Linked DNA regions of Callithrix jacchus. The protein of the gene in region 3 purifies or fractionates together with the protein of the main gene of each other region. This does not show direct contact. Links are inferred from orthologs where the notes say so. Each region holds a gene or a part of one and is shown on either strand. Other genes may lie near its edges. The genes, in order: TSR1, GNL2, IFI16, RBM34, NVL, TBL3 and EXOSC6.

What was found.
Region 1: the proteins of IFI16 (region 3) and TSR1 purify together in Homo sapiens (affinity purification with mass spectrometry; 3 studies listed by BioGRID and IntAct, with this or other methods). This does not show direct contact. The link is inferred for Callithrix jacchus from reciprocal best matches to the Homo sapiens genes IFI16 and TSR1.
Region 2: the proteins of IFI16 (region 3) and GNL2 purify together in Homo sapiens (affinity purification with mass spectrometry; 3 studies listed by BioGRID and IntAct, with this or other methods). This does not show direct contact. The link is inferred for Callithrix jacchus from reciprocal best matches to the Homo sapiens genes IFI16 and GNL2.
Region 4: the proteins of IFI16 (region 3) and RBM34 purify together in Homo sapiens (affinity purification with mass spectrometry; 3 studies listed by BioGRID and IntAct, with this or other methods). This does not show direct contact. The link is inferred for Callithrix jacchus from reciprocal best matches to the Homo sapiens genes IFI16 and RBM34.
Region 5: the proteins of IFI16 (region 3) and NVL purify together in Homo sapiens (affinity purification with mass spectrometry; 3 studies listed by BioGRID and IntAct, with this or other methods). This does not show direct contact. The link is inferred for Callithrix jacchus from reciprocal best matches to the Homo sapiens genes IFI16 and NVL.
Region 6: the proteins of IFI16 (region 3) and TBL3 purify together in Homo sapiens (affinity purification with mass spectrometry; 3 studies listed by BioGRID and IntAct, with this or other methods). This does not show direct contact. The link is inferred for Callithrix jacchus from reciprocal best matches to the Homo sapiens genes IFI16 and TBL3.
Region 7: the proteins of IFI16 (region 3) and EXOSC6 purify together in Homo sapiens (affinity purification with mass spectrometry; 3 studies listed by BioGRID and IntAct, with this or other methods). This does not show direct contact. The link is inferred for Callithrix jacchus from reciprocal best matches to the Homo sapiens genes IFI16 and EXOSC6.

The regions. Positions count from the first base shown.
Region 1 is NC_133506.1:65,921,061-65,924,725, reverse strand, and holds part of TSR1 (pre-rRNA-processing protein TSR1 homolog), read right to left. Parts: intron 3,263-3,665; coding exon 3,103-3,262; intron 2,667-3,102; coding exon 2,509-2,666; intron 2,248-2,508; coding exon 2,054-2,247; intron 961-2,053; coding exon 798-960; intron 1-797. UniProt on the Homo sapiens protein: Required during maturation of the 40S ribosomal subunit in the nucleolus.
Region 2 is NC_133508.1:74,142,603-74,146,713, reverse strand, and holds the start of GNL2 (nucleolar GTP-binding protein 2), read left to right. Parts: upstream 1-1,156; 5' UTR 1,157-1,270; coding exon 1,271-1,334; intron 1,335-2,880; coding exon 2,881-2,965; intron 2,966-3,917; coding exon 3,918-4,012; intron 4,013-4,111. UniProt on the Homo sapiens protein: GTPase that associates with pre-60S ribosomal subunits in the nucleolus and is required for their nuclear export and maturation.
Region 3 is NC_133519.1:19,004,458-19,008,657, forward strand, and holds the start of IFI16 (gamma-interferon-inducible protein 16), read left to right. Parts: upstream 1-1,249; 5' UTR 1,250-1,484; intron 1,485-4,200.
Region 4 is NC_133520.1:50,097,255-50,101,305, reverse strand, and holds the end of RBM34 (RNA-binding protein 34), read right to left. Parts: intron 856-4,051; coding exon 574-855; 3' UTR 515-573; downstream 1-514.
Region 5 is NC_133520.1:4,649,871-4,653,965, reverse strand, and holds the start of NVL (nuclear valosin-containing protein-like), read right to left. Parts: upstream 2,902-4,095; 5' UTR 2,880-2,901; coding exon 2,823-2,879; intron 1-2,822. UniProt on the Homo sapiens protein: Participates in the assembly of the telomerase holoenzyme and effecting of telomerase activity via its interaction with TERT. Involved in both early and late stages of the pre-rRNA processing pathways.
Region 6 is NC_133513.1:4,777,178-4,781,523, forward strand, and holds the start of TBL3 (transducin beta-like protein 3), read right to left. Parts: upstream 2,859-4,346; 5' UTR 1,034-2,858; coding exon 707-1,033; intron 1-706. Other genes in the region: RNF151 (RING finger protein 151), read right to left, coding at 2,859-3,266, 4,153-4,249. UniProt on the Homo sapiens protein: Part of the small subunit (SSU) processome, first precursor of the small eukaryotic ribosomal subunit.
Region 7 is NC_133521.1:31,651,430-31,655,763, reverse strand, and holds EXOSC6 (exosome complex component MTR3), read right to left. Parts: upstream 2,857-4,334; 5' UTR 2,812-2,856; coding exon 1,996-2,811; 3' UTR 333-1,995; downstream 1-332. Other genes in the region: AARS1 (alanine--tRNA ligase, cytoplasmic), read right to left, coding at 3,599-3,784, 4,120-4,233. UniProt on the Homo sapiens protein: Non-catalytic component of the RNA exosome complex which has 3'->5' exoribonuclease activity and participates in a multitude of cellular RNA processing and degradation events.

The DNA.
Region 1 (3,665 bases), on a different chromosome or scaffold from region 3:
TCATTTAATGTGACAGAGACCTCTTTGTTCCCAGTTTTGTTTTGTTTTGTTTTTTGAGACAGAGTTTCGCTCTTGTTACCCAGGCTGGAGTGCAATGGCATGATCTCGGCTCACCGCAACCTCCGCCTCCTGGGTTCAGGCAATTCTCCTGCCTCAGCCTCCCGAGTAGCTGGGATTACAGGCACGCGCCACCATGCCCAACTAATTTTTTTGTGTTTTTAGTAGAGACGGGGTTTCACCATGTTGACCAGGATGGTCTTGATCTCTTGACCTCATGATCCATGGGCCTCAGCCTCCCAAAGTGCTGGGATTACAGGCGTGAGCCACCGCGCCCGGCCTGTTTTGTTTTGTTTTTTTTTTTGTTTTGTTTTGTTTTTTTTGAGATGGAGTCTCACTGTCGCCCAGGCAGGAGTGCAATGGCATGATCTCTGTTCACTGCAAACTCCCCGTCCTGGGTTCAAGCAATTCTCCTGCCTCGGCCTCCCAAGTGGCTGGGATTACAGTCATGCACCACCACACCCAGCTAATTTTGTATTTTCAGCAGAGATGGGGTTTCTCCATGTTGGCCAGGCTGCTCTCGAACTCCTGACCTCAGGTGGCCTGCCCACCCCGGCCTCCCAAAGTGTTGGGATTACAGGTGAGCCACTACACCTGGGCTGTTTCCAGTATCATTCTTGTCGATGACTCAGGGGCTCCCCTAATTTCCCAACGCAGCATATTTCCATGCCAAGAGAAGGAGTAAAGTGGGAGCATGTTGACAAATGAAAGCAACATACAAGATGGACAAGGGCAGATACCTCAGCTCCTTCAACCTCTTTTTCTTCAATCTCCTTAAAGATGCTTTTCCTGCTATTAGTAAAGTTCTGAAACTGAAATATCCGAGCATACTCTTGAGGAAGGTTTTCCTTAGGATCCCATGGAGATGTCCGGAAGCTCTTGAGGCCTCTGTATTTCTGAAATCTAGAATATTGAAGATTTTATAAAAATTAAGTCAGATTTACATGGTGCTATATAGACTCAAGTCACTGCTAAAATGGCTAAGGATCTAGCTCAAAAGAACTCCAATCACTATCTCTCAAAATAAACTATCAGCTTAAACCAAGACCACACTGCAAAACAACTTGTAACAAGTTGTATCAGAACCAAACCCAAGCTTCCCACTGACAAAAGACAAAGGATTTATAGTGGCTCCCTGACAAAAAAGATGTTTGGTAATGACCTGGTATAGTTCAGATGTGTGTCCGTGCCCAAATCTCATATTGAAATACAATCTCCAATGTTGGAGGTGGAGCCTGGTGGGAGGTGACTGGATTATGAGAGAGGTTTTCTCATGAATGGCTTAGCACCATCCCCGTTGGTGAGTGCGTTCTCATGAGATCTGGTTGTTTAGAAGTGTTAGCACATCCTGCCTCAGTCTCTTGTTCCTACTCTGGCCATGTGACATAACTTGCTCCCCTTCTGCCTTCTGCCATGATTGTAAGTTTTTTTCAGGCTGCCCCAAAAGCTGAACAGATGCCAGCACTATGCTTCCTGTACAGCCTGCAAAACCATGAGCCAATTAAATCTCTTTTCTTTATAAATTACGCAGTCTCTGGTACTTCTTCATAGCAGTGCGAGAATGGCTTAATACACAGCCTTATCTCCTTAATATCCAAGATTAATTCACTGGCTTTAGTCACTCACCTCCAGAATAGATATAATCATCTACATCTTCACTCTTCTACTTCTGCTATTCTACCCAAACCCCCTAAAATCTCCAAACATTATATACTTCAATTGAGTATTGGCTCCTTTGGGAAGAAGTATTTGCTAATTAACCTTAGTATTTCTCCTTCATTAAAGTCCTGTAATAGTAGTCTGTACCACAGTCTAGAACTTGATTATATATTACCATTTCCTGTATGTATGTATGTATGTATGTCTTGCCTTCCCATATTAAATGTTAGCTCTTCAGGAGCAGGAAAAATGTGTTTTTCTTCTTTTGTATCACAGTGACATAGCTCTGAGCCAAGTTTTTAAAACCTATTGACTTAATTTAGATTTACTGACTAACCGAATTCTAGCAGCCACATCACGGGGGGTGTCCACCTCATCCGGAAACATCTCTTCCAGTCTTTCTTGTTTATATTTCTCCAACTTTTTTGCCTCAGCTTCTTCATCTACTTTCTTATCATACAGATCATCATGCACAGACTCCCCTATAGTCATAGTTTCATATTCTTCCTCTTCTTCTTCACTACTCTCATCCTGTAGAATAAAGGATTATTTATTTCAGAAGAAATCCACACCCTAAAGGCCAATAAGCTAAGAGTAAAATAATTGTATTGGATACCTATTCCCAACTAACATAGATTCTAATACGGCCTAAAGCAGAAAACAAAAGCCTCATTCCTGGCAACTAGAGTCATTCCTAAGAAACTAAACATACACACCCCTCAAGATTACAATTGCACTTTGCTTTATGTTTGAAGCTAGACACAGAAATGGCCTAAGGCCTCATTTCCTTACCTGAGATTCTTCTTCCATAAAATCCTCATGTTCCATATCATCATATTCATCTCCTTCCCCATCACTTTGGCTGCCACTATCCAAAATCCATTCAGCTTGGTAACTGGATGTTCCTTTGGGGACCTTCTTTACCACCTTAGAACTTTCCTTCAAGAAATCTGTAAAAGCCCAAACAAATTAAGTAAATTATAGCTATCCTTTCCCTATCCCTCTGGTTATTCTCACCCAGGCAAGGCACTAGACGCTGCTGCCAACATGGGAAATTCCAGCAGACACCATAAGCAGAACTAACTACTTCTAAATTTAATTCCGTTGCCTCACAACTAGCAATACTTACACAGCTAAATAAGCCCTGCAATGAATCCAAAGTTGTTTATCTGTTCATGATAAAACATTAACACAAGTTATTTTGAGAAATGGAACAAAGCTGTGTCTAATGTTTGTTTAGTGAAAACATATAACATTTGAGGATGAGGAGAGACTTTCAAATATATCCCTATCCCACTCTATCCCATATGGTTCTCACTCTGAAGAGCTAGAGGAAATCCACAATTCCAGGTCAGATGAATTACAAACAAGTTTACCAATACCAACCCTTTGCCTCACTCATCTCCTCCTCAGTGGGCCAGGTTTGCTCCCCCTCCATTGGATCTGGGATAACCTCTGTTTGCAAGGATTCCTGTCTATCAGGGTCTGCCTTCATTAGGACCTTAAGGTCTTCTTCCATATCATCTACAGTATCCGTAGCACAAATCTGAAAACCAAAAAAGCAGGTGATAGTCAACCATTAACCAAAAATCTCCCAAATCAAACAGAATAACCAGAAAGACCCAGAAATACCGGTCCTCATGTAGAAGATGAATGCAACAGAATGCCAAAACTTGTCAAAATTTTTCAAATGACCATTTTCTAATTTCCAGGGTTTTTTTTTTTTTTTTTTTCCGGAGACAGTGTTTTTCTCTTGTTCAAGCTGGAGTGCGATGGGTCACTGCAACCTCCGCCTTCCGGGTTCAAGCGATTCTCCTGCCTCAGCCGGATTACAGGCATGCGCTACCACACCCAGCTAATTTTGTATTTTTAGTAGAGACAGTGCTTCTCCATGTTGACCAGGCTGGTCTCAAACTCCTGACCTCAGGTGATCCACCTGGCTCAGCTTC
Region 2 (4,111 bases), on a different chromosome or scaffold from region 3:
CTCCCAGTACCAAGATTCACCAGATAAAATGCAGGACATATGGTTACATTTGAATTTCAGGCAAATGATGAACTCTTTTTTACTAGAAGTATTTTCCAGGCACTATTGGAAGCATAATTTTTAAAAAGTATTCATTTTTTTCTCTGAAATTGAAATTTAATTTGGTGTCCTGTATTTCTATTTGCTAACTCTTGCAAGCCTACTAATAGGTAATATTTGAGCTGAGAATTGAATGACCAGCTATGCAAAGATTCTGGGAAAGAGTGATTCAGACAGAGAGTATATCCATTTGTAGGCCAGTGCGGTGGCTCATGCCTGTAATCCCAGCACACTGGGAGGCCGAGGCAGGAAGATCACCTGAGGTTAGGAGTTCGAGACCAGACTGGTCAACATGGTGAAACCCTGTCTCTACTAAAAATACAAAAATTAGCCGGGCATGGTGGTGGGCACCTGTAATCCCAGCTACTCAGGAGGCTGGGGCATGAAAATGGCTTGAACCTGAGAGGTGGAGGTTGTAGTGAGCCGAGATCATGCGACTGCAATCCAGCCTGGACAACAGAGTTAGGCTGCGCCTCAAAAAAAAAAAGAGAGAGAGAGAGAGAGAGAGAGAGAGAGAGAGAGAGAATATCCAGTGCAAATGTCAAAATAACCAGAGGGAGGGAGGTACACATGAGGTCAAATAGGCAAGGGCGAGATCACAGAATCCTGCGGAGACGGCAAAGTTTGAATCAATCTCTGTCTCTGTTTCTCCCTTCTCCCTTCCCCTACCCCTCATTCTAACAGTCATGATAAGCCATTGGAGTTGTAAGGAAGAGGATGACATGTTCTAACGGGTATTTGGCTGCCGTGCGGTCGGCAACTTTTGGAAGGACTTAGACAAATTCAGAAGACAAATTTAAGCTTGTGCCATTGGCCTGGGAAGAGGCTTCTTTATTTGGAGGTGGACCCAACTGGGAGCTCTGTGCCTCGCATCCAGGGTAACTAGGCGGTTGCTATGGAGGGGCAGCTTGGCGGTTGCTAGGGCTGGAAAGGTTTGGGGCTCGGCGCAGGGCGCAGAGCGGGGGCGGAGCCAGGAATAAGGTGGTGCGCGCCGCGCGTTTACCGGAAGCCGCGCAGAGTCAGAGAGGGGCGCGAGCGGAAGTGACGGTGGTCATGCACACGTGGTCCGGCGTGGTTCACGCGGGTCACTTTGGCCGGGCCTGGGAACTTCTTAGTTCGTTTGACCGACGTAAGCCGGACCTAGGTCTCGGGTCCCGTTCTCGTCGCCAAGATGGTGAAGCCCAAATACAAAGGACGGAGCACCATCAACCCGTCTAAGGCCAGCACAAACCCGGGTACAGGCGGCAGGGGTGATCGAGGGTGGAGCTTGGAGGGAAGTGTAGGGGAGTGCTCCGAGGAGGACTGGAGGGGCAGGAGGGGCACTTGCTTAAAACTACCACAAGCGGAGTGGCTGTTGGGTATGAAAAGGAAAGCAGTATTTGTGGTGGTTTCTTCCCGGGGGGCACTGAGGAGGGCTGACACTGCACGCCTGGCAAGCCAAAGTGTAGTCAACTGGTCTGAAGTCAAGGAAAGTGAACATTCAGGCTTTGGCAGCCTTGGGTCCTCTCCAGTTCAGAGATGCAGAGAAAGTCAGATTTAAAATGGTGTAGGTTGACCCATCGGGTCTTTTACACGTAATCATACTTGCCTGCCACCTTAGCTTTGACCTTTAAAATGAGAAAGGGATTGTAGTCTTGGCCCTTGGAATCATTCTATCTGGCAAAGTTCTTAGAAAACCCTGCAAAGAAATCAATATGATCATTGCAGTAAGGCTGTTTTGGAGATGTGTGTACGTTTTGGCGAGGTTCCACCTGTAGAATGAACAAGACGCCCTGTGGGAGAGTTCCTTCCATTCAGGTTTAGTTAATAAAACTTTCTTTTAAAATATGGTTTAGAATTTTTGACAGTTTTAATACGTGTTGAATGTTTACCCTGGATTGATCATAAATTATTCACTTTGCACAAACTGGATCTCAGGATGTTAGACCCCAAAAGACCCCTAGAGTCATGATTTTACAGGAAGTGGCTTGTCATAATTGCAACAGTTAGTAGTCCTAGAGCCACCAGTCTCTACTATTAAATTACCTGCCTGGTCCTGAAGTGATGTAGAAAGCAGGTTTCAGCCTGCCGTCTGCATCACTTCAGGACCAGGCAGGTGATTTAAAGGGCTCCCAAAATGAGAAGCTAGGCTAGTATTACCCTGCTCTTTTGTCCTTCTCTTTGATATGTAAGGCAAGAATTGCTACGTTGATGAAACAAAAATCAAACATTAAGAAATTAAGAAACTGACTAAGAACACATACATATCAAAATCATAGTCTCCATGGTGCTTGCATGGAGCAGGCACTCAATATTTGTTAAACTGAGACACAGAGGTAGGTGTCTTCGTGGTTAAGACCATAAATAGTGATCAAATGCTTGTGTTCAAATTCTGGCTCTGCCATTTAGTAACTGACCTTGGGCAAGGTGTCTGACCACTGTGCCTCAGTTTCTCACTCTGCAGCATGGGGATAATGTATCTCTATGAAATTATTGTATGGATTAAATGAGATGATGCCTATAATGTGGATCTTACAGTCATCATAAGTGCTAAAAAATATTAGCTTTTTTTCTTCTCAGGTACAATCCTATCAAAGATCAAAGATTGGATCAGCTTTGTCATACCATGTAGCTTCAAGTTATAATTATTGGAGCAACATATCAAGAAAATAGAGATTTTTATGTTTGGTGGCTGGCTGCTAACCTGCTTTGAGTGAACTACTTGTTGCGTTTTAAGCAATGACTTGTTGGTTATACTGGTTGGTTATCAGATAGTGCACTGTGTACTTCCGCCTTTTGTAGATCGAGTGCAGGGAGCAGGAGGCCAAAACATGAGGGACCGGGCCACCATCCGGCGCCTGAATATGTATAGGCAAAAGGAGCGCAGGTGAGCATTGGGTGCTATCATCCTTTCCCTTTTCCTTCATGCCCTTGACCGCTAGCAGAGATTGATTAAGCCTTTGCTGTTCTTACTCCAACTTCCTCCAAATAGGAATTATGTATTTTCAAATGTAATTTTATATGAATGTTGATATGTTAAATTGTTAATTTTTGCTTAAGGGCATGATAGCTGGTGTTGAAACAGTGGTTGTTTCACAATACTCAAAGTAGAGGTCTTGTTTCTCACAGCCCTGGCCTCCGCAAATGGTGCATTGAATCTGAGTTAAACATGGCCAGATAAAACAAAGCCTATAGGACTATCGTTAGGAAAGCTGCCAGAAAACTTGTTTTTAATGCCAAAATGAAGATCACAACATTGCGGCACATGAACACTCATCATAACTCTGAGTTCTGCTGACGTAGCCTCTACCACAGGGATTTGCTGAGTGTGGCGTTCTGCTAGCTGGTCTTACTTTGTTTGGTAATTAGATTCTCCATCTCTGTCTGTTCTAAAAGATGGGACTAAAATACAAATGTCAATGGACTTAATATGCATTAGTCACCTACTTTGCAGTTTGTTTTAGAATTTGGAATTCCAGCGTAAATCACCCTCTATTTAAAAAATTTATTTAAACCAGCCTTCAAATAATTACCCAAAAGACTCAAGTTTGTGCCTTTTTTTTTAAAAAGTAAACCAACTGTAAACAGATGTTTTAAAACGTCACCATTATTGTTATTCATCTAGCAGAAGTCATTATGTGCTCTGTTGCAAGAGGTTAAATGGCTTTTGGGCAATCTGTTTCAAATGTAGAAGTACTTTGTGTTCACTGGAATCTGTATTTCATGATCATTTAAAACCAAAGTAAGAAGTCCTTTTGCCGGAAGTATATTCTGCGGATCAAACTTTGCCGTTGCCGCTCTTGTGTTGTCAATCAAAATCTGTTATTTCTTCAACATAGGAACAATCGTGGTAAAATAATTAAACCCCTGCAGTATCAATCAACGGTGGCTTCTGGCACAGTGGCAAGAGTAGAGCCAAACATTAAATGGTTTGGTGAGTATTATCCCCTGTTACTTTCCTGTACAAAATGTATGCTGAGTGGAAAAGGCTAGGATGTTTAAATATCTAAACGGTAGGAGTTTTTGGTGAGTG
Region 3 (4,200 bases):
CTAGATGATGCCATTTTTTTTTTTTTTTGAGACGGAGTTTCGCTCTTGTTACCCAGGATGGAGTGCAATGGCGCGATCTCAGCTCACCACAACCTCCGCCTCCTGGGTTCAGGCAATTCTCCTGCCTCAGCCTCCAGAGTAGCTGGGATTACAGGCACGCATCACCACACCCAGCTAAATTTTTTTGTATTTTTAGTAGAGACGGGGTTTCACCATGTTGACCAGGATGGTCTTGATCTCTTGACCTTGTGATCCACCCACCTCGGCCTCCCAAAGTGCTGGGATTATAAGCTTGAGCCACCGTGCCCGGAGATGATGCCGTTTATTTGACATCCTGGGGTTACAGCACTCTAAAGAGCACCCGCTGCCCTTTACAGAGAAAAACACATTGCTGAGCAAAGGATTAAACAGGCTCCCTTTGCTACCAGAAGTTCAGTGCATTTTCCAGGATTTTCAAGGCTTCATTGCTGTCAAGGTCTGAGCCCTACTATCCTCTTGTGTTTACCCATGAATAATGCAGAAAACATGAGTAATCATAAATCTAATCATTGAGGTAAAGTAACCTAGTCATAGGCAAAAGGACAGCTAGTGTTAAACTCCTTTATATAAATTTGAGCAACAATTTACATATTCATAACGACTTCCTGATCTGGAAAGCCCCAGGTGTGTCAACTATTAACAATTAGATGAATACTTCAGGTAATATTTAAACAAATAGCAATTTTATACCAGACATTTCCCCATCCAGGAGATGCAGTAAAGCACTGGTAGTGATAGTCACTTCTACCAAGATCTCCTCCTACCACTGCCACTCTGCACAGGAAAGGAGGGAGAAGCCACCTGCTTCGCTTATATCTGAGCATCATTTAAGGGAATATAGGTCCCTAAGGACCCACATGTAAGTCTGCTGGGTAAGAAAGTTCTAATGTTGAAACTCTTTTCAGCTGTTAAATTTTCTTAAAAAAAATACATATATATATATATATATATACTGATTTATTTGTATTTATATACATTTATGAGATACAAATGCAATTCTGTCAGAGCTTTTAGCGTACACAGCACGGGAAAAATGTTCATTGTACCCATGAAAGTAATTTCTCATCCCCCATTTGCTCTAACCACACACTTCAGCCCTCTTCAAAAGGAAACTGTTCCTTTTCTCTGACTAACAGAAACGAAACCTAAAAACAGTAGTGGGAGGAGTTTCCATGTTGTTTCCTAACTCCATTTTCTCTGGGGCAATAGCAGAGCAGCAGAGAGCCGGCACTAGTCAGATTACTCAGCGACTTAACCAAGGCCCTTTTTTCTTGTTATCTTTGCAAATACTTCATTTTCTTAGCATTTCAGGAAATTACAACATCCTGCAGTTCTGTTTCTGGGACCTTTACTGATTTATCTCCTCGCTTGAACAAAATAAGCATTGATTCCCGCATTTCTGAAAATCTCAAGATCTGGACCACTGTTGAAAAATTTCCAGTGAGGTGAGTACTGTTGCTAGTTTTGTAAATAAGGTCTTGTTACTTCTTTGAAGTCCCCAGAGTCGCAAGGGGACAATCAGTATCGGTTATTCAGGGTCATGGAGGATGGGAATAGGGTTGGGTTTTCAGAAAAGTGAAAACTGAGTTGCTTGATATAAATCCTTCACTTACTTAGGAAGATAACAGGCTTCTTTTATGCCACCACAACTGAGGACTGAACAAGAGAAAATGCATTTTGACCACTGTAGATTTTTTTTTTTTTTTTTAAGATGGGGGTTTCACCATGATGGCCAGGCTGGTCTTGAACTCCTGACCTCAGGTGATTCACCCACCTCCGCCCTCCAAAATGCTAGGATTACAGGAGTGAGCCACGGCGCCTGGCCAACCATTGCAGATTTTTTTTTTTTTTTTTTTTGGACACGGAGTTTCGCTCTTGTTACCCAGGCTGGAGTGCAATGGCGCGATCTCGGCTCACCACAACCTCCGCCTCCTGGGTTCAGGCAATTCTCCTGCCTCAGCCTCCTGAGTAGCTGGGATTACAGGCACGTGCCACCATGCCCAGCTAATTTTGTGTATTTTTAGTTGAGACGGGGTTTCACCATGTTGACCAGGATGGTCTCAATCTCTTGACCTCGTGATCCACCCACCTCGGCCTCCCAAAGTGATGGGATTACAGGCTTGAGCCACTGTGCCCGGCCACCATTGCAGATTTTAAAACTAATTTTCTGAGTATGTATTGGCATTCAATGATATTTAGAAGAAGGTTTTGGTTATTTTTACCAGAGGAAGTGTTGGAAACTCAGTAGCTGTGGTGGGTTCTCAAGATAGTGACATGAAAAAAGTATCACGAAAGAATATTAAGTAAAAAACACATCTGAGCATAGAGCTGTATTATGTGATATCATCCCAATTTAAAAAAACATGAGAGCAAATGTACACATACAGTGGAAAACTTTTTCCAGTTTCAGTTATTCAGGTATGTGGTGTCTTCATATTTTCATAAGTATGTTGATCTTCTATGTTTTTCCTTGTAGTCCTCTCACAATCATATATATTAGGTGTATGTATAATATATATTCACACACGTATATTATATGTATATATAATCATTTATACAAACGTGTACGCACATAGAAATATATGTGTATAGTGGAATGTGACATTTTAAAATGCTGATTTCAGAATTTTATGTATTATTAGATAAATGTTTACTATGTTCAAACATATCATTACAGATTTCATATATGTGTGTGTAGTTATGTCGGTGCATGTGCGTGTATATAAAGAGAAATATATACTAATAATTATAGTACCACGAAGCACTATAAAATAATAATATCATTAGATAAATTAGATGCATTTATTTTATTATTTTTTCTTTTTTTCTCACAATAATGCTTTGTAGCAAAATTAGATAAATTTATAACTAAAACTTATAATTTCCTAGTTGAACCTTTTATCATTATAAGGTATCTGAAGTTACCTTTGGGCTTAAGGTATATTTAAATTTACACAAGCATAAACTTGCTTTCTTTAGTGATTCTTTGCAAGATAATTTTTAGCAATTTTTTTCATCTTTTGTTAACATGTATTTATATTTCTTAAGTCAAATTTGACGAAAGTTGTCACTTAACAGATCAGACCTTTTAGGTGTATGCTGGTAATTAACAATCTGCTATCTTCTATTTATGACACTTCTATATTATCTCACTATCTAAGACAATTACTTTAGTGACTTGCCCTGTTCTTTTTCTACCCTCCCTTTACCATGCTGTTAGAATTTCTGTTTCTCTTCTCTTTGATCAGGGCTTTCTTTTTAAGATATTAGGAACACCTAAAGTTTATTTTTTACTTTTCCTATCTTTTGGCTGACAGCATTTTAAATTTTATTTATTGTTTTCTTATTAAATATTATTTTCAATAGATTTTTTTGTGTGGTATGAGGCTTTGTCTTGCAAAAAGACTAAGGCCCTGAGTATCAGATAATAGTTTTTTTTCGTTTGTTTGTTTGCTTTGAGACGGAGTTTCGCTGTTGTTACCCAGACTGGAGTGCAATGGCACAATCTCGGCTCACCACGACCTCCGCCTTCTGGGTTCAAGCAATTCTCCTGCCTCAGCCTCCTGAGTAGCTGGGACTGCAGGCACGTGCCACCACGCCTGGCTAATTTTTTGTATTTTTAGTAGAGATGGGGGTTTCACTGTTCAGCCAGATGGTCTGGATCTCCGGACCTCGTGATCCGCCCACCTCAGCCTCCCAAAGTGCTGGGATTACAGGTGTGAGCTACCATGCCTGCCCCAATTAATAGCCCCAGAAATTTAAATATCTTGGTTATACAAAAGGTACACAAAGACATCATTCCTAAAATTAAAACATTCATTAACTTAAAAAGAAACTGGAATCCATACCATGCACTTAGTGTCATCACGGAAGTGCACAGATGTTAAAAGGTCAAGAGGAGTGACACTCTGTCCATAAGAGGATTCTAAAATCTACCCGGAGACACAAAGCCACAATTGAGCCTTAAGTTTGTATGGGAAGTAGTCAAAGAAATGTGGGAATGGCTTTCCAGGCAATAAGAAGGAACTAGCAAAGTCGTTAGGCACGAAGATGTAAGTAAGGTGTGCTGTATCTTTGTGGAGCATAGATACAAGGAATACAAAAGCACTAGAAGTAAAAAAAGATGCAGCTTATTCAACACTTTCTGAGTCCAGGAAGCAA
Region 4 (4,051 bases), on a different chromosome or scaffold from region 3:
TGTTTCCTCATGCCAAGGAAATCAAGGACACAGGCACATGTGGAGTAAGGTTAAGAGCAGAGGTTTAATAGGCACAAGAAAGAAAAGGGAGGCCCAGATGTGGTGGCTCATGCTTGCAATCCCAACACCTTGAGGGACCAAGGTAGGTGGATCACCTGACGTCAGGAGTTCCGGACCAGCCTGGCCAATGTGGTAAAACCCCGTCTCTACTAAAAATACAAAAAATTAGCTGAACGTGGTAGCAGGTGCCTGTAATCCCAGCTACTCAGCAGGCTGAGGCAGGAGAAGCGCTTGAACTTGGGAGGCAGAGGTTGCCGTGACCTGAGATCATACCACTGCACTCCAGCCTGGGCAACAAGAGCACAACTCTGTCTCAAAAAAAAAAAAAAAAAAAAAAAAAAAAGATAAACCTTCAAAGGTAAAGGTAGTATTACAATGTGAATAAACTGAGAATGTGGAAGTCTCCACATTTTGTATATACCATCCGTAAAAAATTATACAACTCAACACGTGATTAGAAGATAATAGCACTTTTATTAGCAACTCAGCAGGAAAAGAAAAAGCAGCTGCTGGTTATTTCTGTCTCCTCTGTTTCTTAGTGCATCTACTTTTCTTCTGTCCTTTCTTCTTCTTTTTAACGAGAACAGCTTTCTCTCCAATAAATAAGCTTTTAGAATGTCCTTCTGCATTTTTAGAAGTAAAATTAAGTCCCTGCTTAGGTTTACTGACATTCTTCAATTGTGGATTTGAATTTTGTTTTAATTTTTCTTTATTAACAGAACGCATGACTCTGAGTTTTCTTCCCATTAGTTCAGAATTATTTAATTTCAGAGCAAGATGAACAGAATCTGTATTCTGTGAATAAAAAGAAAACGAAATACATTAATTTCTACCAGAAACCCCTCTGCAAAGAAACCAGTGAAGTGTGACTTTAACTGATAAGAATGACTTTCAAGTTTGCACAGATAATCCCCATCCAATCCCAGGTGTATAAGCTACCATGCTCCAAGTCTCCCACCGTGCTCCCCCCCAGTTTCCCCACGAAGCACTCACACTGCCTTGTGAAATGTTCAGCTAAGTCACAATGTTATACACTTCATTTTTTCATTCTAAAATAAGGTTCTAAGTCACATACAATATTTTAAACCAATAAACCTCCTTCTCACAGCTATCTTTCTGTCAAAGCCCCACTGCATTAGGTGGCCAGAGGGCAGGGAACTCTTCTTTACAGTACCTGAGATGTTGGACTCGATACGCTCTAGGGTTCCATTTAGATTCAAAATTCTGTTATACTTCTATTCTTTTTTTTTTTTTCCTAGAATATTCCAAGTAATGTATTTCTATTCTAATATAGAGCCATTAATGCTTACAACCCTGAATATCCATGAGATGTTTGTTAAAGGGCTTTAGAAGCTTATCAAGTAATAGAAGACAGGGAGCAGAGAAGCAGTAAGGTAACTACAAGATAGTAACAATGGCAACAAAAGCTGTGACAATCTTTCTAAAAAAGCTACCAGGCAATTCTCACCATTTCTCAACTTTTCAAAATGGTAACACATTTTAATCTAGTAATATCCTACTGGGGATCGATCTTAAAGAAGTAATCTATAATTCAAGCAAACTCTGGGGAGAAAAACATACGCAGGCCAAGCAGGGTGGCTCACACCTATAATCCTAGCACTTTGGGAGGCCAAGGTGGATAGATTGCTTGCGCTCACTCAGAGTTTAAGACCAGCCTGAGAAACATGGCGAAATCCTGTCTCTACAAAAAAATACAAAAATTAGCCAGGCATGGTGGCACACACCTGTAGTCCTAGCTACTCGGGAAACTGCGATGGGAAGATTGCTAGAGTCTGGGAGGCAGAGGCTGCAGTGAGCCACAGCACTCTGGCCTTGGCAACAGAGTGAGACTGTTTCAAAAACAAAAAAACATGTAACCACTGCAATTTCATGATTACAGGGAAAAACAGAGAATTCTACCATGGTCCAACACGAGAGAAATGACAGTATAGATTCTGTTACATCACTCAATGGAACATGCTTACCCAAAAGAAAATAACATAAAATAGGACGTAAACACAATTTTATATTTACAGAGAGAAGTTCAACTATAAAAATGGCAGCACAAGGAAAAACTGAAAGGAAATGTACTAATGGGTTGTTACTGAGGGAAGAAAAATTTATGACATCCCAAAGTATGTACAGTAAGGTCCCCAAATCCATGAGTTCAGTATCAGACGATTCAACCAATCACAAATGGAAAATACTTGAAAACAAATAATACAACAATTTAAAAATATTTTATATATATATAAAACAATATATTTGTGTGAATATGCCATTTTATATAAGGGACTTGAGCATCTGCAGATATATACATTGTTTGCTACGTGACAGGGATCCTAGAAGCAATACGCCGTGGAAACCAAGGGATGACAACAGGTTCTTTCTTGTTTTGAGATAGGGTCTCACTCTGTCACTTCGGCTGGAGTGCAGTGGTGCAATCTTAAGCAATCGTCCAGCCTCAGCCTCCTGAGTAGATAGGACCACAGGTGCTGGCCACCGTGACCAATTATTTATTTATTGACACGGTCTCACTCTGCCATCCAGGTTGGATGGCTCACTGCAGCCTCGACTTCCCAAGGCTCAGGTGATCCTCCTGCCTCAGCCCTGCAAGGAACTGGTACTACAGGCATGCATCACCATGCCCGGCTGATTTCTGTTTTTTTTTTTTTTTTTTTTTGTAGAGGTGGGCTTTCACCACATTGCCCAGGCTAGTCTTGAACTCCTGGACTCAAGTGATCTAACTGCCTTGGCCTCCCAAAGTGCTGGGATTACAGGCGTGAGCCACTGACCCAGCCTTACTTATGTATTTTTTTTGTAGAGATGGTGTCTACCTATGTTGCTCACGCTGGTCTTAAAGTCCCCGCCTTAATCAATCCTCTTGTTTCAGCCCTCCCAAAGTGCTGGGATTACAGTCACAAGTCAACATGCACGACCTGTATATTCTTTTACTATTTAATATTGTCAGGCATGAAACACTGGTTAAAAATTAATGAACTACGGAGTCGCGGTGGCTCAGGCCAGTTGTCCTGGTGCGCAAAGAGGTGAGGTCAGGCGTTCAAGGCCAGCATGGGCAACATATAAACCTCTCATCCATTAAAAAAAATTAATGAACTAAATATTACTAATTTTGTACAAAGAATAAAACTTTCTTATACCTGAATGTCAATTATTTACTCTATTGTAGAGAAGGTGGATGAGATTTAATGATTTAGTCCTTCTAATATCCAATATCTGAAACATTTAACTAGTATAAAGAAAGAACTGGCCGGGCGTGGTGGCTCAAGCCTGTAATCCCAGCACTTTGGGAGGCCGAGGCAGGTGGATCACGAGGTCAAGATCGAGACTATCCTGGTCAACATGGTGAAACCCCGTCTCTACTAAAAATACAAAAAATTAGCTGGGCATGGTGGCACGTGCCTGTAATCCCAGCTACTCGGGAGGCTGAGGCAGGAGAATTGCCTGAACCCAGGAGGCGGAGGTTGCGGTGAGCCGAGATCGCGCCATTGCACTCCAGCCTGGGTAACAAGAGCGAAACTCCGTCTCAAAAAAAAAAAGAAAGAACTAGGACATCTTTTGGGTAGGTGCAGTTATAGCAATATATTATGGCAGGTTATAAATTCAGTTTTCTTGTTTTCATTTTGTTTTGAGACAAAGTCTTGCTCTGTGGCCCAGGCTGGAGTGCAGTGGTGCGATCTCAGCTCACGGCAACCTCCACTCCTAGGTTCAAGTGATTCTCCTGACTCAGCCTCCTGAGTAGCTGGGATTATAAGCACCTGCCACCACACACGAATAACTTTTGTATTTTTAGTAGAGATGAGATTTTACCATGTGGGCCAGGCTGCTCTCCAACTTCTGAGTTCAAGAGATCCACCTGTCTCAACCTCCCAAGGTGCTGGGATTACAGGCGTGAGTCACTGTGCCCAGCCCAGTTTTCGTAAAATAGAATTTGAGAATGGAAGTGAAAGTTATGTCTCGATGACACACA
Region 5 (4,095 bases), on a different chromosome or scaffold from region 3:
ATCCCAGCAACTTTGAGAGGCAAAGGCAGTAGGATTGCTTGAGTCCAGGTGTTTGAGACCAGCCTGGGAAAGATGGTAAGATATCATTTCCACAAAAAATGTAAAAATTAGACAGACATGGTGGTATACACCTGTGGTACCAGCTACATGGGAGGCTGAGGTGGGAAAATCTGTTGACCCCAGGAGTTTGAGGTGGTAGCGAGCAGTGTCACAACACTGCACTCCAGCCTGGATGACAGAGGAAAACCTGGACTCAAAAATAAAAAATTAAATTAAATGTATAGCTAAGTGAAAACCTATTTAAAATATTGTATAAGATTATCTTTAGGCTACGTGTATAAGGTGAATATGAAACATAAATAAATTTCATGTTTAACTTGGGTCCCGTCCCCAGATATTTCATTACGTATATGTAAACATTCCAAAATCTGAAACATTTTTTGGTCTTAAGCACTTAGAATAAGGGATATTAAATCTGTACTTTTATAATGAACCAAAGTGAAAGCTATAGAGGAACACTGACAATGTCAAATGCTGAAAAGCAGTCAAGTGTAAGGACAGAGAAGGGGCCACCAGACCCAGTAATTAGGAGTCACTGCTCCGAAAACTGAATAAACTGAAGGAGGAAGTTGTGGGACGCAGGAACATCAGAGGAAGAGTAATTCAGAGTGAATGAACGAGAACGAAGGTCCTGTGCTTGGCATGTTTGAGAAGGTCTGTGTGGTTAGGACAGGAGAGGAAAAGTAAACTAGGACAACAGAGGCCAGAATATGCAGGGCTTTTTAGACCGGTGTTACTCTGGATGTCTGTGACTCCACTGAAAGGTTTTGAGCAGAGCTACGGCAAGCTCCAATTTTTCCCTTTTTTATTTTTATTATACTTTAAGTTATGGAATACATGTGTAGAACATGTAACATAGGTATACATGTGCCATGATGGTTTGCTGCACCCATCAACCCGTCATCTACTTTGGGTATTTCTCCTAATGCTACCTCTCCCCTAGCCTGATTTTTCCCTTTAAAAGGATGTCTTGGCTATGCATGGTGGCTCACACTTGTAATCCCAGCATTTTGGGAGGCCAAGGGGAATTGATCACCTGAGGTCAGGAGTTCGAGACCAGCCTAGCCAACATGGTGAAACTCTGTCTTTACTAAAAATACAAAAATTAGCCAGGTGTGATGACATGCATTTGTAATCCCACCTACTTGGGAGGCTGAGGCAAGACAATCACTTGAACCCAGGAGCCAGAGGTTGCAGTGAGAAATGAAAAAAGGTGTTTCTGGCCGCTTTGTGGGTAATAGGCTTTAGGTAAAAGCAGAATCAGAGAGATCAGTTAGGAGGCTATTGCAATAGTCTAAGGTGGAGATGATAGTTTGGACTAAGGGTTAGAGGCAAAGACAGTAAGAAGTATTTGGAATATAATTTGAAAGTAAAGCCAATCAGGCTGTTGATGGATGGTATACAGGAAATGAAAGAAAGACTCAGAATGATCCTTAAGGTTTTTGGCCTTACCAACTGGATGAATGGTAGTATCATTTAACAAGATACAGAACACTAAGAAAATCACAAGTTCCACTTGGCCATTTTAATTTGGAGATACGCACGCTGCCTAGGCAGCTGGATATGTTAATCTGTAATTCAAGATAAAATCTGGATTGGAGATATAAATTTAGGGGTCATAAATATATGGAGGCCAGTGCAGTGGCTTGCACCTGTAATCCCAGCACTTTGGAAGGCTCAGGCCTGATTACTTGAACCCAGGAGTTCAAGATCAGCCCGAGTAATGTACTGGAAACCCATCTCTACAAATAATAATAATATATTAGCCAGGTATGGTGGTGCACACCTGTAGTCCCAGCTGCTGTGGAGGCTGAGGAGGGAGGATCACTTCAGTCTGGGAAATCGAGGGTGCAGTGAGCTATGATTGTGCCCATAAACAACCACTGCACTCTAGCCTAGGCAACAGAACGAGATTGTGTCTCGGAAAAATAAAAATAAAATGAAATAAATATATCAATAATATGTAGATACTATTCAAAGGTTATTAGACTGAATGAGATCACATAGGAAGTATGGATAGACAAGGGCGGTGTATGAGGAAAGAGGAGGAAGAGGAGATAAAAGAACAGTAGCTCAGAGCACTTCCAACATTTACAAGTTGGTAGAAAAAGATGGGTCCGAAAAGAAGATTGTTTGGGGGCAGGTGAATAAAAAAAAAAAAAGTAGAATGTGTAGCTCACAAATTACAAAGTGAACAAAAATCTCTCCTATCTTTTAACTTAGACTTCTTGGTTACATTCTAAGGTATTTGCCACACACTGCTTTTTACTGATGTCATTAAAATGAGAAAACCATAGGCAAGGTGCCTGTTACAGTTGCCAGACCCATGTTACCACGTTTTAGTGTTTAAGTTCCTTGAGAACGGAAATTTTTCGTATTACTTATGCCACCCCTTCTCAAGGACCTCTTACAATGAGAGCGTTGGAAGACCATTCCTGTACTAACTTCACAAGCCAAAGAGGTTAAAATTCAAAGGCTAACTCCACTCTCCTGAATGATCAGCGCTGAAGACGACGAGACAACCTGGGCAGCCCCACCAAGCTGCACCCTCCCACCGTCCCTGGCTGCTCCTTGTGACTCCGCACCCACGTGGGTAAGGAAGGCCCCGGCACCACCAACTCAAGAACAGACGCACGCCCAGACCCAGACTGGGGCAAGGAAACTAGTTGAGTTCCACGCGGACGCCGCCAGATAAAAGGGCAGTGGTACCCTGGGGCAGCAATCGGGGCCCATGGCGAGGCCGAGCGGTGCAGAATACACACCTGGATGACTCGCTGCTTGAGTTTATTATCCACGAACCCTGCACGTCTGGGCTTCATCGCGTCGCTCTCCCGAGCCACTGCTCCGATCGCCTGCTCCCAGTGAACCGGGGGCCTCGTAGGGGTTGCCCGGCGCGAATGCCGGGTCAGTAGGACCTGAAATGCGCCCCTCCTGGGTCCTAGCCCGCGCCGTTTCCATCAGAAAAAAAAGTAATGCGAATGAGAGGGAAAAATTCCGAGGAGCGGGAAAAGACTTGAACACATCAGGGAGTTTCTAGGGGCCTTATTTTTCAGGCATGCCCAGTGGGCCTTGGACGTTTAGGCCCCCTTTGAACGCGCTCAACCTTATTGGTTCCCCGCCGGGCGAACCAGGCTGGAGAAGGTTCCTACCCCGGCGCGGCGGGCGGGGAAGCTGTCAGCTACGTCCGCTGGTAAACTTGGTTTGCTTTCCTCAGGCTTTCCAGCCACACTTCATTCCAATACAAAGCTAGTCTTGGCAAAACCCGCGACAGTAGATAGTTGGAGTAATACAATTAGGATACAAACACACCACCAGCCTCTGCTTGCTTTCCCACATAGTTACATTTTTGGGGCCCCACGAAAGAGCTAGGTGAGTAAGGAAAGGAAGGACGGATTTATCCAGATAACTAAGTCATCTGTTACTTTTAGAATTCGTTTGACCTACGCTGTTACGAGCAGCTAATTTGTTGAATATATCCAGTGCAAGACTCCTTGGCCCAGAATTTTATTAAACGTTTCTGTTTGTTCCAGGTGAGTTTATCCTGCAGTTAGGGAGACACAAAGGGATAGTTACCAAGCATTTTTTTTTTTAAGTTGCAAGCTCTAGTTTCTGTTTTCTTCATTTCCATCGTGTTTTGAGTATTCTTATTTCAGGTCCTATTTTGCTTATGACAAGGTTAAGCGCAGTGTATTCAGGGGCAGACGGAGGAGAGAAAATGGAATTAAGGGTGTGAAGCTGGGTAAGGTGGCTCATACTTGTAATCCCAGCACTTTGGGAGGCCGAGGTGGGCGGATCTCTTGAGGTCAGGAGTTCGTGACCATCCTGGCAAACATGGTGAAACGTCGTCTCTACTAAAAATACAAAAATAAGCACTGAATTAAGTATTAGATTTCCCACTCAAACTATTGGTCCCTTTGGCTGCAACTTCATTTCCTACTTCTTCGCTATACTCTTTAATTTTTATTTTATTTATTTTTTTTGAGACAGAGTCTAACACCATCACCCAGGCTGGAGTGCAGTGGTGCGATCTTGGCT
Region 6 (4,346 bases), on a different chromosome or scaffold from region 3:
TGTGTGTGGCCTGGGCTTCCCTTCCCAGAGGTCAGGGCCTGGCTCAGTGCGCTTCTGGAAGCTTGACTGCCAAGACGAAAGCAACCCCTCAGCCCCTGAACCCAGTCGACCCTCCCACGGCGGTGCTGCCAGCCAGGGGCTTTCCTTTACCAGTGCTCGGCACAACCAAAGCCCCACAGCCGCCGATGGAAATGATAATCCCATGCGACTGCGCTGCCACGGCGGGGGCACCCCTGAGGTCACCTGGGAGTGACAGGGCACAGGACTGAGGCCCTCCTGGGCTTCGGCAGACCTGCCCTCCCCTGCTGTCTCCCCGCTCCCTGGAGAAAAGGGTTCGAGGGTGGTGAGTCCCCAGGCCGAGTGCTTAGAGGTGGTTCTTCGTCTCCGCCGTTTGCCGGGACCAGCCCCGACCTACGCTCAGCCCTCCCCTGCCCTCACCCGGACTTCTGGTCCCCACTTCACCCCACAGCCGGCTTCTCGTTGAGCCCAGGCTGCTGCGCCCGGGCTTAGGTCCCCGTCCTCCCCGAGGGCAGTCGGAGCCTGCTCTCCCACCTAGTATCATCGCAGCCTCCGCGACCCCGCGGGCCGGCGCACACGTACCCCCTCCCCTCCCAGACCCCAATGGACGCCCACTCCACGCGCGTCTCCGCCACGCCTGCTGCGAACCCGGCTCCCTCCCCGCGTGGCCCCAGCGCTCCGAGCTCACTTGGCCTTGAAGCGGCCCACTCCGGCCGCGGTCTCTGCCATGTTGCGGCCGCCGCTCCCGCCGAAACCGGCTAGAACCCCGGCAGCCTCCACCGCGTGAGGAGGGAGGTTGGCACGGAGCTCCGCACTCCCGGCGCGCTGAGATGGCGTCACCACGCGCGACGCCTGTGACGTCACCGGCGCCGCGCGCTTGTCGCCATTTCTGCTGCAGGTTATGGCGGCTGTATCCGGAAGTGGAAGCGGGCGGAGGTGTTTCCGGCCTGGAGGGTGGGCTGTGAGCCGTGACGGTGCTGCGCGGGCGGATGCGGGAAACTAGCGTGGGTGGCATCGCCGTAGCCTGGCCTGTTTTTTTTTTTTGTTTTTTTTTTAAAGACGGGTTTTACCATGTTGGCCGGGATGGCCTTGAACTCCCAACCTCAGGTGATCCTCCCGCCTTGTCCTCCCAAAGTGCTGGCGAGAGCTACCGCGCCTGGCCAGCCTGGCCTTTTGATAGCAGTATAAAAAGGCATTCGTTTACTCCTGCCCTTCGGCGTTCCGGAAATTGAGGCAGCAGGAGTCGGGTGAGGTCCAAGCCTAGAGCGGTGAACCTGACCCTGCCTCGGGGCTCGCAGTGTGGCTCATGATAAATGACACAGGAGAGGCCGGGCGCGGTGGCTCACGCCTGTAATCCCAGCACTTTGGGAGGCCGAGGCGGGTGGATCACGAGGTCAAGAGATCAAGACCATCCTGGTCAACGTGGTGAAACCCCGTCTCTACTAAAAATACAAAAAAAATTAGCTGGGCATGATGGCGCGTGCCTGTAATCCCAGCTACTCAGGAGGCTGAGGCAGGAGAATTGCCTGAACCCAGGAGGCGGAGGTTGTGGTGAGCCGAGATCACGCCGTTGCACTCCAGCCTGGGTCACAACAAGAGCGAAACTCCGTCTCAAAAAAAAAAAAAAAAAACACTTAAGTGAAGTAAAGCAGGCCAGCGTGGCGGCTCACACCTCTAATCCCAACACTTTGGGGAGCAGAGGCAGGAGGATTACTTCAGCCCAGGAGTTTGAGATCAGCCTGGATAACACGGTGAGACCTCATCTCTACACCAAACACAAAAATTATTCAGCAGTGGTGGTGTGCGCCTGTAGTCCCAGCTACTCAGGAGGCTGAGGTGGGAGGATTACTTGAGCCCAGGGAGGTTGAGGCTGCAGTGAGCCATGATCACGGCACCGCACTCCAGCCTGGGCGCTAGAGCAAGACCCGGACCCAAAAAAGAAAACAAGAAGAAAATACATTCTTGTATTCCCTTTATTTTATTTTTTGAGATGAAGTCTCACTCTTGTTGCCCAGGCTGGAGTGAAGTGGCTCAATCTTGGTTCACTGCAACCTCTGCCTCCTGGGTTCAAGAAGTTCTCCTGCCTCAGCCTCCTGAGTAACTGGGACTACAGGCTTGTGCCACCATGCCCAGCTCAGTTTTGTATTTTCAGTAGAGAAGTGGTTTCGCCATGTTGGTCAGGTTGGTTGCCTCTGCCTCCCAAACTGCTGGATTACAGGGTGAGCCACTGTGCCCGGCCCCCGACTTTAAAATCCCAGCCTGTAGTCCCAGCACTTTAGGAGGCTGAGGTGGGTGGAACATGAGGTCAAGAGATCGAGACCATCCTGGCCAACATGGTGAAACCCCGTCTCTACTAAAAATAGAAAAATTAGCTGGACATGGTGGCACGCGCCTGTTGTCCCAGCTACTCCGGTGGCTGAGGCAGAAGAATTGCTTGAACCCAGGAGGCGGAGGTTACAGTGAGCCGAGATCACGCCATTGCACTTCAGCGTGGCAACAGAGACTCCAAATCAAAACAAAACAAAACAAAACAAAACATTCCAGGCAAAAAAACAAACAAAAAAGAAAAACAACAAAAAAGATGAACGCAGGCAAATGGAGGCGAAGGGAAGAGCTCTCCAGGCAGGGGGAGTCGCCAGGCCAAGCCCCATGGTGTGACGGAACACAGAGCCCTTGGAGAAAGCCCGTGGAGTATCCCTGGGAGGAAGGGAGTCATGCCTGGAAAGGCCAACAGGGACGCACAGGTGACAGCTGTGCGGGGCTCTGCGTTTATTTATTTACAAGATACTCTGGCCCTGAGCACCCCGTACCTCAGCCCAGACGCTGCCTTCCGGGGCAGCCTAGGCCTCGGCCTCCTCCTGTGGTGTGCCCTCCAGGAAGTTGCCCAGCTCCGCCAGCTCTCGGCGGACAATGCGGGTGGCCCGGTGCAGCTGGCGCACGCGCCTCAGCAGGCACAGCAGCATGGTCTGACTGCGCTCCTGGCGGGCGCTCCAGGCGTCGTGCAGCTCCCGGTAGCAGTTGTGGTGAGCACGCTTGGTTGGGTCCAGGGTGGCCCCACAGCCCAGGGGGCAGCGCTGCTGGTTCCTTTGCTGGCAAAGCTTCTGGTGCTCGGCCAGGGTCCCACGAGGGACCCGCGAGGTGCAGCCTTCGTTGGGGCAGGCCATTGGCTCGAAGGGGCACGAATCCTGGTGCCCTTTGCGATGGGCCAGGGGGCATGTCACCATGCAGCCAGCGTCGGCGTTCTTGCACTGAGGGTGAAGGAGCACACGTGTGAAGCAACCCAGGTGGGACACTCACGGAATCCCCGTCCCTGGCTTTCCACTCACCAGGAACCAGGGACCCGGGAGCCTCCCATACTTTGCTAACTCCAGTGAGGTGGTGGAGAGAGAACACGGGCCAAATGCATGGACTTGGGAAGAAGGCAGACATGCCAGGGGAGGGGATGAGGCCTGACGCTTGGGGAACTGGAAGGTCCACAGCTGGGTTGGTCTGGTGAGTGGTATGGATGCCAGGCTTCCCCCTGACCCCTGACAGAGATGGAGTCCCATTTTGTTGCCCAGGCTGGAGTGCAGTGGCATGATCTCGGCTCACTGCAACCTCTCAGGTTCAAGCGATTCTTCTGCCTCAGACTTTGAAGTAGCTGGGATTACAGGCGTGTGCCACCATGCCTAATTTTTGTATTGTGTGAGGAGAAACAGGGTTTCACCATGTTGTCGAGACTAGTCTTGAACTCGTGATCCACCTGCCTTGGCCTCCCAAAATGCTGGGATTACAGGCATGAGCCACCCATGCCCATCTCAGGTTTTCCTTTTTAACCTCAGTTTACCCATCTGTAAAACTAGTGGGCTAGAGAGTAGTGGCCGGCACACCAGGCATTTCATCCTCTAAAAATCCTTTATAATCTGCATTTTACAGCTGAGATGCCAGGGGATTAGAAAGGGTAAGTGACTTGCTTAAAGTCACACAGAACTAAGCGGTAGAGCCACAGTTCAAACTCAGCCGTGTCTGACCACCCAAGATGGCACTCATTTCTCTCCGAAGATGGGACTTCTCCTTGCCCCCTGTACTGGCCCTGCCCCACCCCTACAAGGGTGAGGAGGGTAAAGGGTTGGGGGAGTGGGTTTTTTGAGCTACCTTGACTTCCAGGCGGCTGATGGTTTTCCGGAGTTTATTCTCGTAGACGATCTTTCTCTTTTTCACCTGTTTCCTGCAGCACGGACAGGTCTTTTGTCTGGAAGGAAGCATGAGTTGGGGGTGAGTGTTGGGAATGGGAAGGGAACCCTGGTCAGCCCTTCACTCCATGACCCGGGTGGTCCCTTCATCAGCCG
Region 7 (4,334 bases), on a different chromosome or scaffold from region 3:
CTAGATCTGAGGTGCCAAAGCTCTGGGGAAATGGAAAGTGGGTGCAGAAAGACTAGGTGCTGTGGGCCCCTCCTTTCCTAGCCCATGCCTCCTGCCCCTCCACTAACGTCCTGCTTCTACTTTCCCTACAGGTGGAGGACCACGCATAGGACCAGGACAGCCAAGAGGAAGCAGGATCTCCTCCAGGCTCATCAGCTCCGGGCGTTCTGGGGTAGGTCCTTGCCTTGCCTAGGTTGTGAAGGCCTCCTGGTAGCACCCATGCAACCTGAGATACCCGTTCTGGAGCTGGGTCAATAGAAGAGAACACAGGGCTTGGCCAGAAAAGCGGAAGGTTCACTGTTGCAGCAGGTTTAGCTTCTTAGGAGGTTACATTTCACGATGACAGCCATGGGACTGACAGCGTTAGGAGGGAGGTAGCCTGGGACTGTACCAGGTCGCCATCCTCATGAAGCTGAGGCTGTCTTCCAAGGGACAGCTGACAGCCCACCCCCACCCCACCCCAGCACTCAGGGGCAATCCTCAGTCCTGAGTGCAGACACGGCCACAGCTGCTCTTCACTCCCCTCTGGATGCACCAACAGCCAACAGATTTCCCTGGGATCCCAGTCTCCCTCCCTGCCCGAAACAGCCGGAAGGTCCTCGGCGTACACCCCACACCACCCTCTTGGGGCTCCAGACTCGTCATCCACTCTCCAAAGCCATCCTTCAGAATAACATGAGCTGTCTCCACTGGTGTGATACCATTTCAGACCTGCTCTGGAAAGGTAAGTCAAAAGGGAAAAAATAAAATTCATAAATCTTTTTCCTGGTCAAGGCTTCTTGGTGTGGCTCCAGAAACTCATTCTGGTCCTTGGGCTGCCCGGCACCGGCCCTTCCCCGAGAAGCCGAGTGCAGAGACCGGACCAGGCTGCCCTGCCTTCTCAATGGCAGTCACCTGGCTGCGTCCAGAGCAGCCTTGAGACCAGACCAGCAGATCTGGGAGCCACACAGGAAAGACCCCACCCTCGTGGTGAGTCAGGCCGGTTCTGCCCTATGGAGCAGCCAAGCCGTACCTGGCTTTCCTGGCAGTTCACCTGCCCTCTCTGGGCGTTGCTCAGGGTTTTCCTCCTAGGACCAAGGCACCACGTGAAGACGGCCCAGGACACCACTTCCCACCGGCTGTGGAGGCCTCTGGTTGTGCCGTTCTCCACATGGCCAAGGACAGATCTGGCTTCCACCCAGAGCAAAACCCATTCCAGCTACCCAGCCGAGTTGGGTCTTGCCCAGTACCAAACCAGGGTGGGGGGCTGGGGTGCACTCAGCGCGCCGCTGGGGCCATACAACTCTTCCTACTTTTGTCATATCTCAGCAGCTGTCCTGTCTCTGGTTCGTGTGGGGGCAGCTTCTCCTTCTATAAAGCACAGGGCCCACATCCAGTCCTGCAGCTGTTCTTTGCAGCCTATCTGTCCCGTTCAAGTTGGTCTAAGGAACGGGACCGGTTAAAGGCACCGCGGTCACGGCCCCTTGCCACCTGGGATGTAAGAACAAAGAAGCCGTGCTCTCTAAAATCCTGGACCAAGAAGAATCACAACAGAAGACGCTTTTCAGATATAGAAGTGTTTTTCTTTTGGCTCAGACACGGTGAGAAGGCACAGCCTCTTGTCCAACCTCTCAAAAGTCGCCCAGTTACGTCAGAGGGAGTCTCTGGCTGGCGGTGCAAAGGATCTATCCCTTAAATGACTACAGTTCCCAGATACCAGCTTCCAGGTAAGTTCCAAGTTTCCAGCCTGGAAGTCAGGCTGCGCTCACAGGTGTTCTCAACTGGGTCGCAGCTGAGAGCCGGCTAAAGGAGGAAAGTTCCTTTAATGAGGTTTGTAAAAAGCCCTTCCACCACCACAGCTGTCTGGCGCCTCGGCTCTGTTTCAGCCTCTCCAGGTGCTCTCCGGGGCTCCTGCTGCATATCTCGATGCAGGCTCGAGGCCCACGGCACGGGTCTCGGCGTGGCGTCCGTCGTTGTTCAGGGCGGGGCGGCGCCCCTGCGACGGGCAGCCCGCACCAGGCACTGCTGCAACACTGGATAGAGGCGCTGGCAGCCCTCGAGGCCAAGGCGTACGGCCTCCGCCCAGCTCTCGGTCAGGCCACCCTCCCCGCTACCCAGCAGCCCAGCCACCTGATTCAGGACGGGCATGAGTGCCACAGTGAGACCGGCGGCGGCGCGCTCCTCCTCGAGCCGCGTGGGGTCCAGTAGCCAGGTGGACGCGGGCCCCGGAGCGAGGCTCAGGCCGCAGCCCACCACCAGGTCGTACATCTCCACGCCCGCATCGGCCAGGGCGAGCGCAGCGGCGGTGAGCGCGGCGGCCAGGGCTGAGCCCCCGTCCTCCAGCAGCAGCGCAGACACCTCGAGCTGTGCACGCGGGTATCGGCCCAGGCGCACCGCTGGCTCCAGCGCCTCCTGCAGCGCCAGCGCCAGCTCACGCTCCTCACCGCCGCCCTGGGGAGCGCGGCGCCGGCGCCCCGCGAAGGGGGCGCGGCGGAAATCGCAGAGCAGTCGACCACGCAGCGCGGCCGGGGCCTCGCCACCCGCTCCGGCCGGGCCGCCCCCGCGCTCGCCGCCCTCGGCCTGGCGCGGGCCCGACACCGCGCACAACACCTTGGTGCCTCCTGCCTCCAGGTAGGCTGAGCCCTTGGCTTGGCTCAGCAACCCCGCGCGAGCGTACACGGGTCGCAGCCGCGTCGGGTCGCGAGCGGCGGGCGCATCCTCTTCGTCGGCCGCGTACAGCTGCGGCGGCTGTGATTCCTCCGGGCCGCGTATACGGCGGTGGTCCCCAGGCATCACGGCGCCTGGCGTGCGACCTGCTTCCGGCCGCTGCTCCACCACGCACACCAGCTCTTCCGCTGCTTAAAGATGCGCGCCTGCGCGAAGGATGTCGGGGAGCAGCCGGCTTCGCTATAGCGCCCTCTGAAGGCCTGGAGGGAGAACGGCCGGCGTCCTCAAAGCCTTGGTGCCGCTAGTGCAGGGCATGTGGCGTTCATACATACAACGGGGGCGGGGGGCGGCAGTTAGAAGAAAGAGGCTTCTCTGCTTCCACCCCTCATTTTCTGTTGAATTATGAACACCTCCCTCTATGTCACCTATTTGGCTTCCATCGCCACAAACGGTTGAGGCAACCACAGGGGCTACTCCCAAAATTCAGAGTTCTGGGGCTAGACAGTGAATACAGCAGCAGCCAGCAGGAGTCACAGCATTTATTCTAGACAGCAGGGGCCACAGGCTGTGGAAACGGCGCGCCCCCATTGGGAATGGGTAGAGATCCTGCGGCGTCAATTATTGCACATGGTCCTTTATTCTCTGCAGCGAAAATGATTCCCATTTGCTAACCCAGACAGCTCAGGTCTGGAGAGCTGTCCGCTCCAGATGCCTATCGATGCACAACAGCAATGCTGGGGTACTCAGGGCAGACATATAAGGAATACTGGGTCACAGGACCTCTTCCAGTTACCGTGGGGTTAGGAAGATGGTGGGAGCTCTTTAAAGGTCCCAAGATTCTAATGTTCTTAGAGCAGAGGAGGAACTCCTGGCTGGACCTATGGATCCAGTGCCAAACTCCTCCTTCCCCACCTCAGTTCTTCACATCCCCGAGGTGCAGCTGGGCAAAGGAAGTGGCCAGCTGCAGCGCCTCCTGCAGGCAGCCAACGTTCTTGCCTGTGGCCTGCGCAGACACATCCTTGCCACCACCCTTACCATCCATCAGGCCTGATACCTGCTGCACCCACTCGCTGGCTTTTAGGCCCCTATTGGCTGCATTCTGGAAGAAAAGAAGGGAAGGGGGAGTTAGGACACAAGATAAATGAGGAATGGAGGAAAAGAAATGCAGGAGCCATCCCCCACTCCTGCCCAGGGTGGTGATGCTGGCAGCCGAGACACGCTTAACAGCTGGTAAAGGGGGAAGTCATAGCCACAGCCAGGAAAGGACAGAGTGGCAAAGCCAAGTATCAACCAGACATCTTCACCAATGAGAAGGCCGGGGTAAAGGGCAACAGGTGTCTAGTTTCAAATGCCGATTGTGAACACACAGGCCTCAGGAATAAGCTTAAGACCTACACTGCCCCCCTGGTGTGAAAGGTCGTAGGCAGTTCTGACCTGGGGGACTTGACACAGGCACGTGATTTTGCCAGCCTCATTATCCACAGTGAAGAGCATGGCAGACGTCTGAGGGGAGTGCATCTTGAAGAGCTTCAAAGCTTCATTCAGGGCCTGCGGGGGGTGGGAAGAGCTGGCTCAGGCCACGGTGCTGGAGCAGGTACCCTGCTCTCCACTCAGGTGAGAGCCTGCAGTCCACAGCAAGACCGCCACAC